Linked DNA regions of Styela clava. The protein of the gene in region 1 purifies or fractionates together with the protein of each later gene. This does not show direct contact. Links are inferred from orthologs where the notes say so. Each region holds a gene or a part of one and is shown in the gene's direction. Other genes may lie near its edges.

Region 1 (7,582 bases):
ATATTAATTGAAGTTTTGCTCAATTCAGCAATGACCATATTTTTTCTCAAACTGTATTTCTAATAAAAACTTGGCCAGTAAGCCAATGTACTACAATGCTCAAATAAAAATATCTACGGTAATTTGTCCAGTTCCCCTTTCTTATAAAAATTTGAGCATCTTGTGAAAACCATGCTCGCAATAGCAACCCTATGCTTCTCCGCCACCACTGTGCCAGTGTTTATGATGTCTTATGCAAAGCTTTTCTAATTTTTCTGTGCAGAGCACTGTTGTAACCAATGACAGATGGGGTATGTTGACCCCATGTAAACACGGTGGATTTTTCACTTGCAATGATCGATACAATCCTGGTGTTCTGCAACCAAGGAAGTGGGAAAATGCTATGACAATTGATGGATTATCTTGGGGTTTCAGAAGAAATGCAAAGTTTTCTGATTATTTGTCCATTGAGAACCTTATCCAGGTACGAATGAATAGTTTATGGGAGAGTGTGTCGTTTGCGCTTCTTCCCTCTATACAATCTCCCTGTAATATGTGTACCAGGTTAAGGTTAGGCCATAATTTTATTCTGATTTTCTTATTTTAGTTCTATCATGAGTTCGGGGACTGTCTGTGTTGATCGAGTGAATACACCCCTTGCCCATAGACCATAGTGATCAGTCCCTGTACACAACTTATGTAAAGTAGGCAAACAAAATTAGTTTCCTCCATATTGTTACACATGCTTCTGGAGCGCCCAATAATTGACAAGATAACCCAATAAAATCAAAGCTGACTTCTTACCATGTTGTGTGTCTTGTTACTTCAATGAGATATGACAAGGAACAAAATTGGGAAAAGACACATAGTATGGGTGGCACATTGGCCTAACGCTTAAAGTGTTGACTTAACTGTTTTGTTTTGACATCAGATTACCCATCTCTGGTTCAAATGCCATGCCCCCATGCACCCAGGAAATAATAAATTGAATAGACAATGCCGAATCAGAAAGATCCCAGCCCATCCAAATAATAGTAAATCTTCACATATTGCCCGATATCAGTGACTGCTTGTATAGAACCTTGTAATATGGCCATAAATGAGAAGCTGCAGCTGATAAAAAGGTGCTTTAATCTTTGGAGATGCCTGTTCAGATCAAACTAACACTAACCCTCTTTATTTTTTGCCTGAGTAAGAGCAAGTACATACACGCTATTCTCTTCAAACTACCACATTTCTCTGTGACTTGAATCTTTTTGCTCCACAACAATTAACTTCTTTATTTCTAACCTAACTCAATTAACTTAGCAGTGTATGAGTTGGCTGACATTTCAAAAGTTTAAAAATATATGTTGTCTCCCAGAATGGTCTTTTGAGGATTTATTTTGGGGTGCTCCCAGAGTATCTGTACCAAGATGGAGCACTACCTGAACATCTTGGTCATCTTGGTCATCTTGGTCATCTTGGTGCACATACTACAGAAGCACCTATTTTTTTTAGCGATTTATTCCTAACAAAAGCTTGTGTGTATGAAAGTCGACTATATGATTGTCTATAGGTAGTGATTATTCTACTCAATCCTTTTTGAGTTTTCGTTTGAAATTTTGACTTTGATTAACACCACTGGGAATATGAAGTTAACCTCATATTTTGGCATATAGACTTTTGTGACAACTATCAGTTGTGGCGGTAACATGCTGATGAATGTTGGACCAACTAAAGAAGGAACTATTCCAGCTCTCTATCAGGAAAGATTGAGGCAGATGGGAGAATGGCTCGGTGTTATCGGTGAAGCTGTGTATGGTTCTACACCTTGGACTCATCAGAATGATACTCTGTCTAAGGGAATTTGGTACGTAACTAGTAACAAGTAAATTTCAGCTCAGCATAATATGCATATTATGCGTTAGGAATGCGCTTGCCATCGCACCTCCGATTACCTCGTGGGGTTTGCAGGTTCAAATCCCATGGGGAATAATTATGTGTCCCTGTATTGCTGCTCTCCTCGTCATCACGGGGTGGTTTACATAACCAATGGTCAAATATAGCATTTTCCACTATCAGTTCCATGCATCTAAAACTGAAACTATTTAACTATTCCTGTACCCGCCATAGACTGATAACCGGACGAGAGGTCGTGGTTCGCAATATTAGGCTGTTTTATTAGCTTCCCACTGTACTAATATATAATTAGTATATTTGTTTCAAATTTGAGCAAACGGAAATTCCCCTGAATAAAAAATAATTTTGCTTTATCTTTTCCTTCTCAGGTATACAGCAAAGCCAGGAACAGTGTATGCATTTTTTTTTACATGGCCGGAATCTGGATCTCTGACTTTAGGTTCTGCGATTCCCGTAGCTGAAACCTCAAAGGTTTCTCTTCTAGGCACTTCAATATCTTTGCCATGGGAGCCCATCAAGTCAAATGGTATTACAGTAAACCTCAACAGCATCAAGCCAACTGAAATCCCCAACAAATGGGTTTGGGTTCTGAAGCTTGTTGGATTTCAGTAGAATATATTACCGGTACTTCGTTTTTTTGAATCCTAATTAATTGCATCATTTTGTGCAATATACCAGTTTTTCTGAATCTTTGGGTCTGAAAATTTTCTTGGGGCTCGTTTTTCAACATGTTTTTTCATTTTGATCCTATCAAAAAGTTCAAGTGAAAATATTTTCAATTGGTGAAGCAGTACATTTTATATAACTTGTAATCATGTATTGTGGAATTCTACCTATCTAGTAGTATTGCTGGCAATAATGTAAATGGCTATATTTTGCAAGTAATATTGATATACCAAAATCCATTATTGTTAGTGGGAAAAGGTGCACTTTCTCAATAATAGTCTACAAATGATTATTTCTAGAATAGTGAGTTTGTTTTTATTTCACTATTGTTTTTTAAAAGTTATGTGGTTTAGTTCATCAGTTTTGAATAACAAATTGAATAAATCAAGATAGCAAGTAAAACAATTCTGCCATGTAATTACCGTAACTCATCCCAATGCTCTATACTGCTACTTTACCATGCCGTGAGAAAAACTTTTGTACTCAATTTTGATGTTATAACGCAGTTTGTAGTGCTCAAGTTCTATTTCATGCAAAATTTGTGCAAGGTATTTGTTATGCCACAAGCTCGTCCTGATTAGAAAAGTTCTGTACAGTGATTATAAATTATTAAAGCATTATTATGACCAACATGACCATTGCTACTGCTGCCATTAGATATGCTAACTATGGCCGAATCTGACTTAAAACTATACCGATGAGTGATGACAGAGAATAATCAAGTCTTTTTTTTGTCTTTTAAATGAAAATTACTTATATTACTTAAGAGAGCTGTATGTTTGGTATTAGTACTATCAAATTCAGTTCATTTTGCAGTTTAATTTTTCATGTCTTATAATTTTGTTATTTTCTTTAATGATAATGCAGTGACCAAATTTTGTGATTTAAAATATATACGGTACTTTTCTATGATTGATTACCCTAATATTGTGTTTGCCAATGAGCTATTCAACACCATAATTCCTTATAGTCTCAGTAACTGTTGGCATTTTACTGGCCTACTGTAGTACCTTCGCTCAGAGATCAGTCTACTTTATTTCTGAGTGAGGGCATGTGACATTGCTATTTTGAAGCCATGTTTGTGACTATATGCAACGTTTGCTTGATGTGGATCTATCGTAAATATTGTTCCAGATATTTTTAGTTCATTTATGCATGGTCCAAATGCCCCGCATTTTATATTGATTATTTGCAGTATTCTAATATCTATCATTACACAATATGAGTCCACCATGAATATAATTTTCATTGAAGTGAATGCATGCACTTCCACATAATATACCAGAATATTGCTTACAATTTAACTCTGCCCATCATCTATTTTCAAAAAAAATGAACTGTAATCATGGAATTTTTTTAAAGAATTTGAAATACAGCCTATGGACACGAAAGCCAAATGAAATTTTTTACCCGCAAATCCCCAAAACAATATCCTGAACGAAGCTTGAACTATGGAACGGCTGCTGTGGGTCTAGTGCCACCAGTATTTCTAGTGTGAATGGTATAAAAATTTTTATATATCATTCCTGACCCTTACCTTATTACTTGACTATGTCATTCAAAAATTATGTCACTGTGACATCACAATCACATAATCAAGCTTGCCAAAATATAGCATCGATGGCCCGTAAGGATGTCTGTGACAATGAACTCACTGAAGCTGGCTATCTTTCTTGCGATTGTTGTTGTCGCAGTGATAGAATTTTTGGTTGACGTCAGGTGGGGGTCAGAAATATGCAAATATCGTTACGCTACACCCACTAAAACTACACCACACTACGGACACTAGACCCACTGTTGCCTTTCAGTCTTTCCAACGAAAATATGATTTTCTGATAACCTTAGATTTTATTAGTGTTTGACTACAGCCATTTCTTCTTTCTGAATAGTTCCTAATATGTGATCCTCAATTTTGATACATTGATTTTTTTCTGTGTATACTGTATATGAATCGTCTGAATCAAGTTCTGCTGGAAATTTCATATTGGTTCCTTACGTGTACTTGATAACCTTCACATTCTAATATTTTCAAATCATACATTAGATTTAAATAAAATTACAACAATATAAATCTGATTTCCAACATGAGTGAAGAGTTTCGAATTCATCATAATGTCAACCAACTCTTACAATTGTTGAAGTAAGTCTGTATTGATTATTTGTTTAAATTTTAATTTTGAACTTACTCTAACACAAGTGGTTGGCACATTATGATAAGCGTTAAGAACATGCTTGAAATTGCACCTCTGATTAGTCTGCATTAGTTCACAGGTCCTATGGAGTATAATTCAGTGTGATGGAATTGCTTGACTCTCCGCTGTCGTAAGTTGGTTCACATAAATAACTGCTGGTCGTTTATGACTTCTTCTGTAAAATCCATGCATATGGGACGAATAACTTGTATACTATTCTCTTATATGACATGGATTGGTAGCTGGATCAGAGATCGTGATTTGCCATATAATAATGCCATGCCATCTTATCAGAAAAATGATTTAATTTATAATCCATGGATTTTGTACAACATCATATTAAAATCTTAGAATGGAACATTGGAAATTCACCATTATAAATCTACTGTGTTTTGTAATTTGAGAATATCTTGTGTCTAAAAAGAGTAATAAGAAGATATATATTCATGCTTTATGAAATCATGGTGTTACGGTTGAAAATTATTTTTAAACTATCTTTCATATTAAATGTTTAATCATCATTCAGAGTCGACAAAGGGAAGGCTGAAGAACACACTGAAACTCTTCTGAAAAGTCGAACACCTTTTGTCACAACACAAGTATGTATTACTCATGGTGTTGAAGTATATTCTGATAATTATAATCTGTTCTAATCATTTAAGAGAATAATAACTTTTATTGAAGGTGAACACTCATAGTTCTGCTGTCAAAATTTGTGAGAAAGCTTCCAAACCCAAGGAATTCTTGCAAAAGTATGAAGAACTGAAGTCCAAAAAGTATGCTAATAAACACTTTTTCGTTTCAAAATTTGTATATTATAACGCCGTTGTGTTTGACTAGCGGCCATTGAAATATTAACATTTGGCGATAAATGTGGTGTAGAATAGGTCTAGGCAAATTTAAAAACCTTTAGTTTCTTAACCCTTTTACCACATACTGGTATTTCCAAATGGAAATTTCCAGATTTTTCACTCCTACCTTATGGTCAAAATATAATAATTCAATTGCAATATGATTATTAATGCAACAGTTTGTTCGTAATGATGTAGATTTTCAAAATAAACCAGTCGGAGAATACACTGTGTAATGTCTGACCTTTGACCACCAGCCCCATCACTTCGTGACTTAAACCCATTTATGTTTCGGTAAAATTAACTCCGAGCAACTTTGTATGTTGCGCAAAATCGTCACCTATGCTAGCTGCTTATGCAGCTGTTGCCTATGGCAGTACAAGATTTAAAATGACAAAGTTTTTTGTTTTCATGTTTGAGTTTATTTTCAAAAATCTATTTCGTTCAGTGTTCGCAACTTGGATTCTATGATACATTTTCTATCAAACCTGAATAACAAACCAAGTTTGCATGCCACCTTGACAAAAAATGCCGAGGAGAGAGGAGAAGCTGCTAAAATGATTCCTATTTCTCCATCTTCAATCCTTGGTACATCAAATATTACTCTTCCACCATCTGGATCAAAATTAACCCCAAAAGAAATATCTGAGGTGAAATTTATTTTGGAAATTCCAATGTTGGTATTTGATTTTGAATATAACAGAATAGGGGTGAATAAATATTCACATTCACAAAACATAATATCTACTATTGTAGAATTAAATGTATTGGGTCTAAATGTATTGGGTCTCAGTTGTTTTGTGTGACCGAAAAAAAGCTTCGATAGTTTCCAAATTTATCATAATTTCCTGCCATTTTCTAGTCAACTATGTCGAATATCAAAATTCCAAGAACCCTACCCTCCGCGGACTAAAATACATTTTCATCTCGTTAGTCCATGAACTTGAAAAGCCAGAATTATAGTGAACAATGAACATGTGTTAATTATTAGCTACAGCTTATCGTTTGCACAAAAATACCGGCCAGACACACAGGACACAGCGCTCATAATTAACCCTAATTATTCTGAATTATTCAAAAATCAAGAATTTAAAATATTGAATACAATTATTTTGAATCTGTTAAAATATTCGTTTAGTAGTTTCGAACATCCTTGACTCAGAACTTCAATTAGATATGGTGTGATAAAAAATACACGAATGCGAATATTTTCCAATTTATTTTAATTCAAATAAAATTAGGCAAAATTGGAATCATATTTTTTCTTCAGGAAGTTGAATTGGTATATATTAATTAAATTGCCAATAAATTACTGTAAATTTGCTACATTGCACCTTTTTTCATTGAAATTTGAAACCATGATTTTATGACAAATCATACGGAGATACTGAGTTGAATAATTCATTCATAGTATTAGAAATTGTATCAATTATAAGGGTTGATTCTAAATACCTATGAATACAATCCTTTTTATTAATTTTTCTTAAACTAAATATATCATATCCTATATCTCAAAACTGACATAACATGTTTGGGTGCTGGGAAAATTTCTTCTGCAGAAATATTCACCCATGAAAAATATTTCATCTAGACAAATTTCAGCCCTAATCCTCACCTACATAAGGAGAAATTTGCCTTGATAAAATTTTCCGACGCCAAATTTTGTTTCTACAGTTGCGAAGTACTCTAGAAAAAGCCACGGGACCATCATCTGCATTGGGTTTGATTCCTTCAGCAGAGTCATTCAGGAAAACACTGCGTGAACAGCACAACGCCAGAAGACCTCGTCAACATCCTATTCCATCATCACCATACTGGCTTGCTGGTGATAATAGCAGAAAATATTTAACTGCTGATTTTGTATATGACTCAAGCACTCAACATCCAGTGAGTTTCAATCTTCAAAGTTTTATTGTATTACATTCTTCTCTTCTGTCTGTAGTAATATTCTGATTCTTTATCCAGTCATTTTGATGATATCAAAAAACACAC
Region 2 (7,885 bases), on another chromosome or scaffold:
AGGTGCCCGAACTCATTGCAAAATTTTTTTCTGCTTCACACTGTTTCCCTCTGTTTTGCGCTCTTCCGCGCTGTTTCCCCACTGTTTTGCGGTGTTTCGCGTTGTATTCGGTAAGTAGTAAGACCGCAAAGATGCTATACCGGTACGCCACCATTTGGTAATGGTTGGCGCTGTAACCCCTACAAGTTTTACATTCGTAAATACCGGTATAAAAAGGATAAGTTTATTTCGGTAATTCTATCTCTAAAATCGAAATAAAATTGCAATGTAAGTTATAGACTACATTATAAGCTATAAGCGCTATATACGAATATTGGTAAATTCCGCACTAATTTTTACATTCACAAATATCATATTTACAAATGGTGGTGCATAGCGGTTGTTGGGAATGTAGAAGTTACGGCACGTTGGTGTATGGCGGTATTTACAAACAGTACCTACCTGCCATATCTGTAAATGCGAAACGGCGGTATTTACAAACAGTACCGGTATCTGTAAATGGCGGTGTGGTATGAGGGTATGATAGTCGTTGGGTATGAGTTACCGTATCAGCGTATATGGGTATTTACGAACGTTGAAGTTATATCGCTTACCGGTATTCTGATGTATACCGTAGCAGTAGGCGGGTCTGGTAGGTACCGGTACCGGTATAGTTTAGTGCCACATGCACTTCTAGTTGGCCTGGCTCAACAATTTTTGCATATGTCAATCCTAACCCCCACCTGACTACATCACCGAAAAATTACGTCATTTCGATGTCACAGTGGCGTAATAGGGCCCACCAAAGTATGCGGATGGTCGTCCAAAACGCGCAGACTACCGTACCGGTATCCCCCAAAATTGAGCAAGCTATTTCTTTCGTTCTCTCGCCACAACGATCACGATAGGAGAGAGATCGCCGGGTCTCATGTAGTTTCTTACCTAACATACTTCTAGTGGGCGTAGCATGACAATTTTTTCACGTATCAATCCTAACCCCCACCTGACTACACCATCCAAAAATTACGTCATTACGACGTCACAGTGACGTAATAGAGCCCTTCAAACTATACGAACTGCCATCCAAGACGCGCAACCGAGCACCCGAAATCGAACAGTTATTTCTCACGTTTTCTCGTCGAAACAATTCCAATAGGAGAGAGACCGATAACGTCAGTCAGTTCTTTATCGTCGGCGCCAATGCCATTTCGGTCGATCGGGCGTATATTTGGCAAGCTCTATGACGTGATTGTGATGTCGTAGTGATTTAATTTTTGGTTGGCGTAATCAGATAGGGGTTAGGATTGACATATCAAAAAATTGTTATGCTACGCCCACTAGATGTACGTTAGGTACGAAACTACACGAGACCCGAGATCGGCGCAGATCCCATTTCGGGCGATCGTAATTATACTTCGGCAAGCCCTATGACGTGATGGTGACGTCGTAGTGACGTAATTCTGGATGGCATAGTTAGGTGGGGGTTAGCAATAACATATGCAAAGTTTGTTATGCTAGGCCCACTGGAAGTACTTGTGGTACTAAACTATACTAGACCCGAGGTTTCTTTTCAGTTGATTATATTTTGAACGCTGTTTTTCCTTGTGTTCCGACTGGCTAATTTTTATCGATAATTGCTTTTCTGTTTTGACGCGAGTTTCGCGGGCTTCACTGCATCTGACGTGTCACGCGTGGCTCTTGCATACCGACTTTACGCGCCGAAGGACGTCCTTGTTTAATCTTATTATGATGTTAGTGGTTTCGCATTATCCGCTTTACTGACTTAGCGTGTGGGTGGCATTTGGTCTCGTTAGGTAGAGCTGTGTTGAGGGTATCGTAACCGGGGCCCCATATGACCATCGTCATCATTTATTGCTTTAATTGTTCATGTATTTTTATATTGCATTCCTATTAACTGCTTTCTAAATTTAGTTGCTATTTTTATTCTAATAACATTATCGTTCACGTTACCTGTGAGTTTCTTGTCGATTTAGGCCTTTGGAGCGTTACAATATGTAAGTTTATCTTCTATTAACTATCTGGTTATGCATTTTCTTTCCGCCCTCATCTTGTGATTGTTTATTGATTAATGATTATTTCATTTTATTTACAGTCAACCGTTTTACAATAAACGCGTATGACATGGAACATCTGTGTGCCTAAAGCTAAATCTGACAGGAATCTCATGTGGCATCACATTTTTTTAAAATACTACTTGAATTAAAAACGTGTACTTGATGTATGACTGGATGTCTGGGGTGTTGAAGCCAAATCGTATTATTGCATCAGATAATAAAATCCAAATTCATATTTTTGCACATTCAGCCAATACTATTAGAAATCCTTCACCAAATACAGAAATAACTGATCACACTAAATTCATGCATGCGATTATTCAGATTATATCCTATTTTCATTAGTTGAATCATACTATTTGAGTATAATATTAACATGGCCATTTCAGATATGTTTCCTTTATATACTGATATATCCTTGAGTTGTTTCCTATTGAAATTGATATATATACCGTACTGTGTCGAAGGGTAAGTAACTTTTTGTTTTCGATATTGCTTTTTAATAATCAGATTTCCTGAAAAAAAAGTTTTTCCATAGAATTAGAGAGTTTTTAGCAAAAAAACTGGTTACATAACGGCCATGATTCCTTTAGATTATTATCGAGACAAGCATGGCGTGATATGACCAATCTGCCTTCCCTGCTATCCCTGAATTGCAATTCAGATACATATGATCGGGGATCATAAGCCTATTATTTTCATGTAGTAGCTCTCTAATGAATCAACTATTTCACTGTGATTAATACACTTTCCAATGTCTAATAGATTGACAAATTGGAGAATGACATGGCAAAAAATATATTTTGGATTATCGTAATTTAGTTTGTTCCAGCCTCCCTGCTAAAATTATTGAATATTAGATTAAATAACAGGTTTCAATAACAGATAGAATATTTGGATTTATATACTTGTAACTTAATATATTTGGTAATGAATTCTTAATTTTTGGAATATTTGCTTTAGGAATTGGAAACTCATTTAAAAAAAATATACCCCGGTCCTGATTAGATTCTGAGATTACTCCGAAATTCGTCTTCTTTCTAATCAGATCACGTTTTTTGTACACGGTGTATAGAGATTTTTATAAACTAAGAGTGGAACAAACCAGAACCTGTGTCTATTTATCTATTGTAAGTGGGTGTATTGGGTGGTATCTGACTCAGATACTAAATGGTTGTATCGTTACCACCCAGTCATCTACCGAAAACTTTTCTTATCATTTATATTTACCTATTATATGTTTTCTGGTTTGACGAAAAAATAAATTCTCTCTCTCTATTACAGTATTCTGATATTACCGTTCATAGAGACGGATATGTTTATCTGTGGATGTCGGGACAACGGTAAATGAAAAACTTAACACGACTTTATAGAATGGCCAAATTTATTGATATTGGAGCAAATTTGACTGATCCTGTGTTTAGAGGAGTTTATAGAGGTAAAGAGAAGCATGAAGATGATTTTAAGGATGTCATTGATCGAGCGAAAAAAGTTGGATTGGATAAAATCATTGTAACTAGTGGATGCCTTCAGGATTGCGCGGATAGCTTGGAAATATGTAAAGCCAGTCAATTTTTGTTTACAACAGTGGGATGCCATCCTACCAGATGCCAAGAATTTGATGAACATGGTCCTGAAGTATATTATAAATCATTATTTGATATTGCCTCTAGCAATGGTGATGAAGTAGTAGCCATTGGTGAGTGTGGGTTAGATTATGATCGCTTGCATTTTTGTCCTAAGGAAACTCAGTTGAAGTATTTTGTTAAACAATTTGATTTGGCGGAACATACAGGCCTTCCAATGTTTTTACATTGCAGAAATGCACATGATGATTTTTTGGATATAATGCGACAGAATCGTAATAGAATATCTGGAGGTGTTGTTCATTCATTTGATGGCACACCTGAAGAAGCGAAAGCAATAATAGACTTAAATTTGTTTATAGGAATAAATGGATGCTCTTTAAAGCAAAAAGAAAATTTAATGTCCATTTGTTCTATCCCATCAGACAAACTTATGATTGAAACTGATGCACCGTGGTGTGAAATAAAACCAACGCATGCTGGGCATTCTTTTATTAAAACAAAGTTTCCAACGAAAAAGAAATGGGAAAAAGACCATTGTATAAAAGGTCGCAATGAACCGTGCAATATTGTTCAAGTATTAGAAGTAATGGCTGAAGCTAGAAAAGAGGATTTGACGGAACTGGCGACCACAATGTTTGAAAATACAAAAAAGTTATTTTTTGACAGGAAAAACGATGTCTGATTTTAGGATATAAAGCTAGATTTATCACTGAAAAAATCATCTTGCATTTTGACACATACAGTTCTATTTTTAAGTTTCATTATTGCACCAAAAAAGAATCAAGAGTTCATATTGACAATTGACATTCTAGAAACATTTTTTGTGTGCAAAAACTAGAATTTACTTCGACAACAACAATTAGACTTCCTGATGTTTTTGAAGCTGATTTTTGTATCGCTTGTTTTAAAAGTTCTATCAATATGAAGGTGATCTTTAAAATGATAATATTTGCCTATTTTGTGATATATTGTTTATTTCAGCAATTCTGCTCAGATGCTTTTTGATTTTAGTTAGATACATTTATCAATCCTTTTCATTTGGCCACTGATCATGGCTAATTAGACGATTATACTTAGTTACTGAGACTCTTTTTGAGTATCGTATTTGAAACCATTTTCAAAACAAATATAGATGAAAATGTAGTTCGAATGGGGATAGTTTGGGTTACATTTATCAATTTATTCAAAAACTCAATTTTCAGCTTCCTAAATTTGTTACATGACTTTCTAATATAGTATCATCTTTAAATAATAATGGCAACGAAAAATCGAAATCAGCCAACTCCTGAAGTTCTAATTAACGAATTGTGTGTATTATTGAGTGATGATAATCCAAGGCATTCCCAGAAGTTGACTGCATATGCATTAAGAATGCTATCGGACCTTGGAGACCAACCGATACCGAACTGCAATGAAAACACTGTTATTGATCGCATTAAACGAGATTTGGCCACAAGAGGAATGCAAGAAAAAGCTGCCAAAATAAGTGATCTTTATAGAAGACTTGCTGCTTCAGGTCGAATACAAAACCTTTGGTCTGTCTTATACCTTCTGAGGAGTTTGTCAAAAGATAAATCTAAAAATTACACAAAAAATACGTTGCTTTTTCGACAGGGCCTTGCTATATCGTCAACACCACTTATGGATTTGACTCCACCAGCAAGCCGTCTGCATTCCTCTGGGAATGCCAGTAGTGGATTTGGAACTGTTAATAGTCAAGGTACTATAAGATCATCAAATAGTGGTTTGCCAAGTAGCATTGATACCCCTGCAAACGATTTTCAAAGTATGTCTCTTGGTTCACGTCTTGCATGGGGAATAACACCTTCTACAGGATACAATTTGACATTGAAAACGGATCCAAGTACAACTGTACAAAGCAATGATGGAAAATATAAATCCAGTGTTCAGGACAAGTCAAGGGTTTCATCATCATCTTCTCATAGCAACAAGACAAAAGTTCCTGTGAATAGAATTGCAGACAGCACTCTACTTCGCGAACTTTTGCATGTTTTTCGTGGCACTGAAAGTGAAAATATTAAAATGAGTTCAAGAGAAGATGCATTTCGAATCACTCCGAAAGCAACTGTCGATAAGCGTACTGCTCAAATGGTTCATAAACTTGCAGAACTAGGCTGGTTGCATAACAGAATAAGAAAGTATATTGATAAACATAGTAAGGATTTAGCTTTCGGCTTAGTCGGTCAGGCTTTTTGTGCAGCATTGGTTCAAGAGTTGCAAGAGTATTACAGATTCTTATCTGTATTACAGTCCCAATCATACAAAGAAGATCAGGGTTTTGCAGGTGATGCTGGGAGTCGTCTAACTTTTTACAAACTCTTGGATTGGACATCTGAACCTAAAGAGAGACTGCAATGGGTCGCTATGCTCGTAGATAATTGTAAGGACAGGAAAGGTGGTGCCTTGGCATCCACTATTCATGCTTTTATGCAAACTGGTGATGTTAGCATGCGGTTGTTGACAAAACGTCTTTTGGTCATATCGACGCAACCAATTTTTTACATTTTGAGTCGATGGATTTATGATGGTGAACTACAGGACACATTTCATGAATTTTTTGTTGCAATGGATCCTACCGTCAACAACGATCGGTTGTGGTATGACAAGTATCACTTGAGACAATCTATGGTTCCATCATTTATGACAGACAGCCAAGCAAGAAAAATTTTACTTGTTGGAAAGTCTTTGAATTTTCTTAGGCTGGTTTGTCGTGATCGTACAGAAGTTGATATCAGAAACAAGCAAGAATTTCAGTTACCTGAAGATGCACATTTGGACAGTACGTTAGATTTTGGCACAGAGTTGCAAGAGAGAGTGGACGAAGCTTATGAGGCCACTAGTCGTTGCCTTTTGAATGTCCTGAGCGACAGATACAAACTTCTGACCCACCTTCGAGCAATGAGAAAATTCCTCTTACTTGGTCAGGGTGATTTTGTTCGACATTTACTAGACTTGTTGCATGACGATTTAGCGAGACCTGCTGGTCAATTGTACAGACATAACCTGAACGGCCTCGTTGAAGCTGCTGTCCGAGCCACAAATGCACAATTCGAAGATCAAGATGTTCAGTCTCGTTTGAACATACGTCTTCTGGAAATAAATCCAGGCGATACTGGATGGGATGTTTTCAGTCTTGATTATCACATCAATCAACCACTGAGTACAATTATCACTCCTGATATTATGCTACTTTATCTCAGATGCTTCAATTTTCTTTGGAGAGCAAAACGCATGGAACACAATCTTGCTACTATATGGACAGATACAATGGAACAATCCATGAGACTTTCTCCTCACTTGCCTGAACTTAGAGGAATACTTCACATGTGCCACACTCTTGCTGCTCAGATGGTTCATTTGGTTCACCAAATTCAGTACTATATTGCATTCGAGGTATGGGAATTATTTTGCGTTTCATGCGCTATGTGTATGTGTTTCTATCACATCATTTGAATTTGGGATTGGAATCATCAATCAAGATCTATAACCTGTAATGTCAATTGTCGACATAGGCTCAATGTTTTAACCACTTGGCCACTGCACTCAACAAATTTTTTACAGTGTTCGAAATTGTTATACTGATGTTTTTATGACAAACTGTTTCTTTTTTAAAGGTGCCTTATTCCTAATTTGGTTCAACTTTAACTTTCTTTTGTCATCTAGGTTTTGGAGTGTTCATGGGCAGACTTGCTGAAGAGGGTTGAATCTGCTAAAGACTTAGATGAAGTAATTGTTGCACACAGACAGTTTCTTGAAGCAATCATGAAGAGATGCTTACTTGATCAAGGATCGCAGAATTTATTGACGCAATTACGTTCAATTTTCGATCAGATTGTCTTATTCGAGACTTTAAAGGTAGAATCCTTTTATATTGGTTTTTATTGGTTGGTTTTTTCATTTGGAAAATTAATTATGCACTACTTTACATCAAGTTGTGGAAAGAGACTGAAATCTTTGGGTGTGAGATATACTCACTTGGCTAACACAAATAAGTCCCTGAATTCGTAATAGAACTAAAATAAGGAAAATCGGAATCAAATTATGGCCTAGCCTAGTACTCACACTACAGGAGTACCCAGTTTTGTTTCAGCCCTTATATATATCTAAGTAAGTAAGTGTTTATTTCGATTTTCCAATACAACAAAACAATACATGGCAAAACAAACAATTGTACGGAAAATCAGGAAAGGGGGCAAAATCTAAAAAAGATTTAAGACGTGC

What was found. Proteins that work in one complex are often made in the same cells at the same time.
Region 2: the proteins of gamma-tubulin complex component 2-like (region 1) and gamma-tubulin complex component 3 homolog fractionate together in Drosophila melanogaster (co-fractionation; 3 studies listed by BioGRID). This does not show direct contact. The link is inferred for Styela clava from reciprocal best matches to the Drosophila melanogaster genes Grip84 and Grip91.

The regions. Positions count from the first base shown.
Region 1 is NC_135255.1:3,626,752-3,634,333, reverse strand, and holds the start of gamma-tubulin complex component 2-like, read left to right. Parts: upstream 1-4,575; 5' UTR 4,576-4,631; coding exon 4,632-4,687; intron 4,688-5,265; coding exon 5,266-5,338; intron 5,339-5,423; coding exon 5,424-5,515; intron 5,516-6,038; coding exon 6,039-6,240; intron 6,241-7,264; coding exon 7,265-7,477; intron 7,478-7,582. Other genes in the region: alpha-L-fucosidase-like, read left to right, coding at 263-463, 1,641-1,831, 2,250-2,493.
Region 2 is NC_135254.1:11,604,679-11,612,563, forward strand, and holds the start of gamma-tubulin complex component 3 homolog, read left to right. Parts: upstream 1-4,879; 5' UTR 4,880-4,897; coding exon 4,898-7,057; intron 7,058-7,327; coding exon 7,328-7,519; intron 7,520-7,885. Other genes in the region: deoxyribonuclease TATDN1-like, read left to right, coding at 3,402-4,325.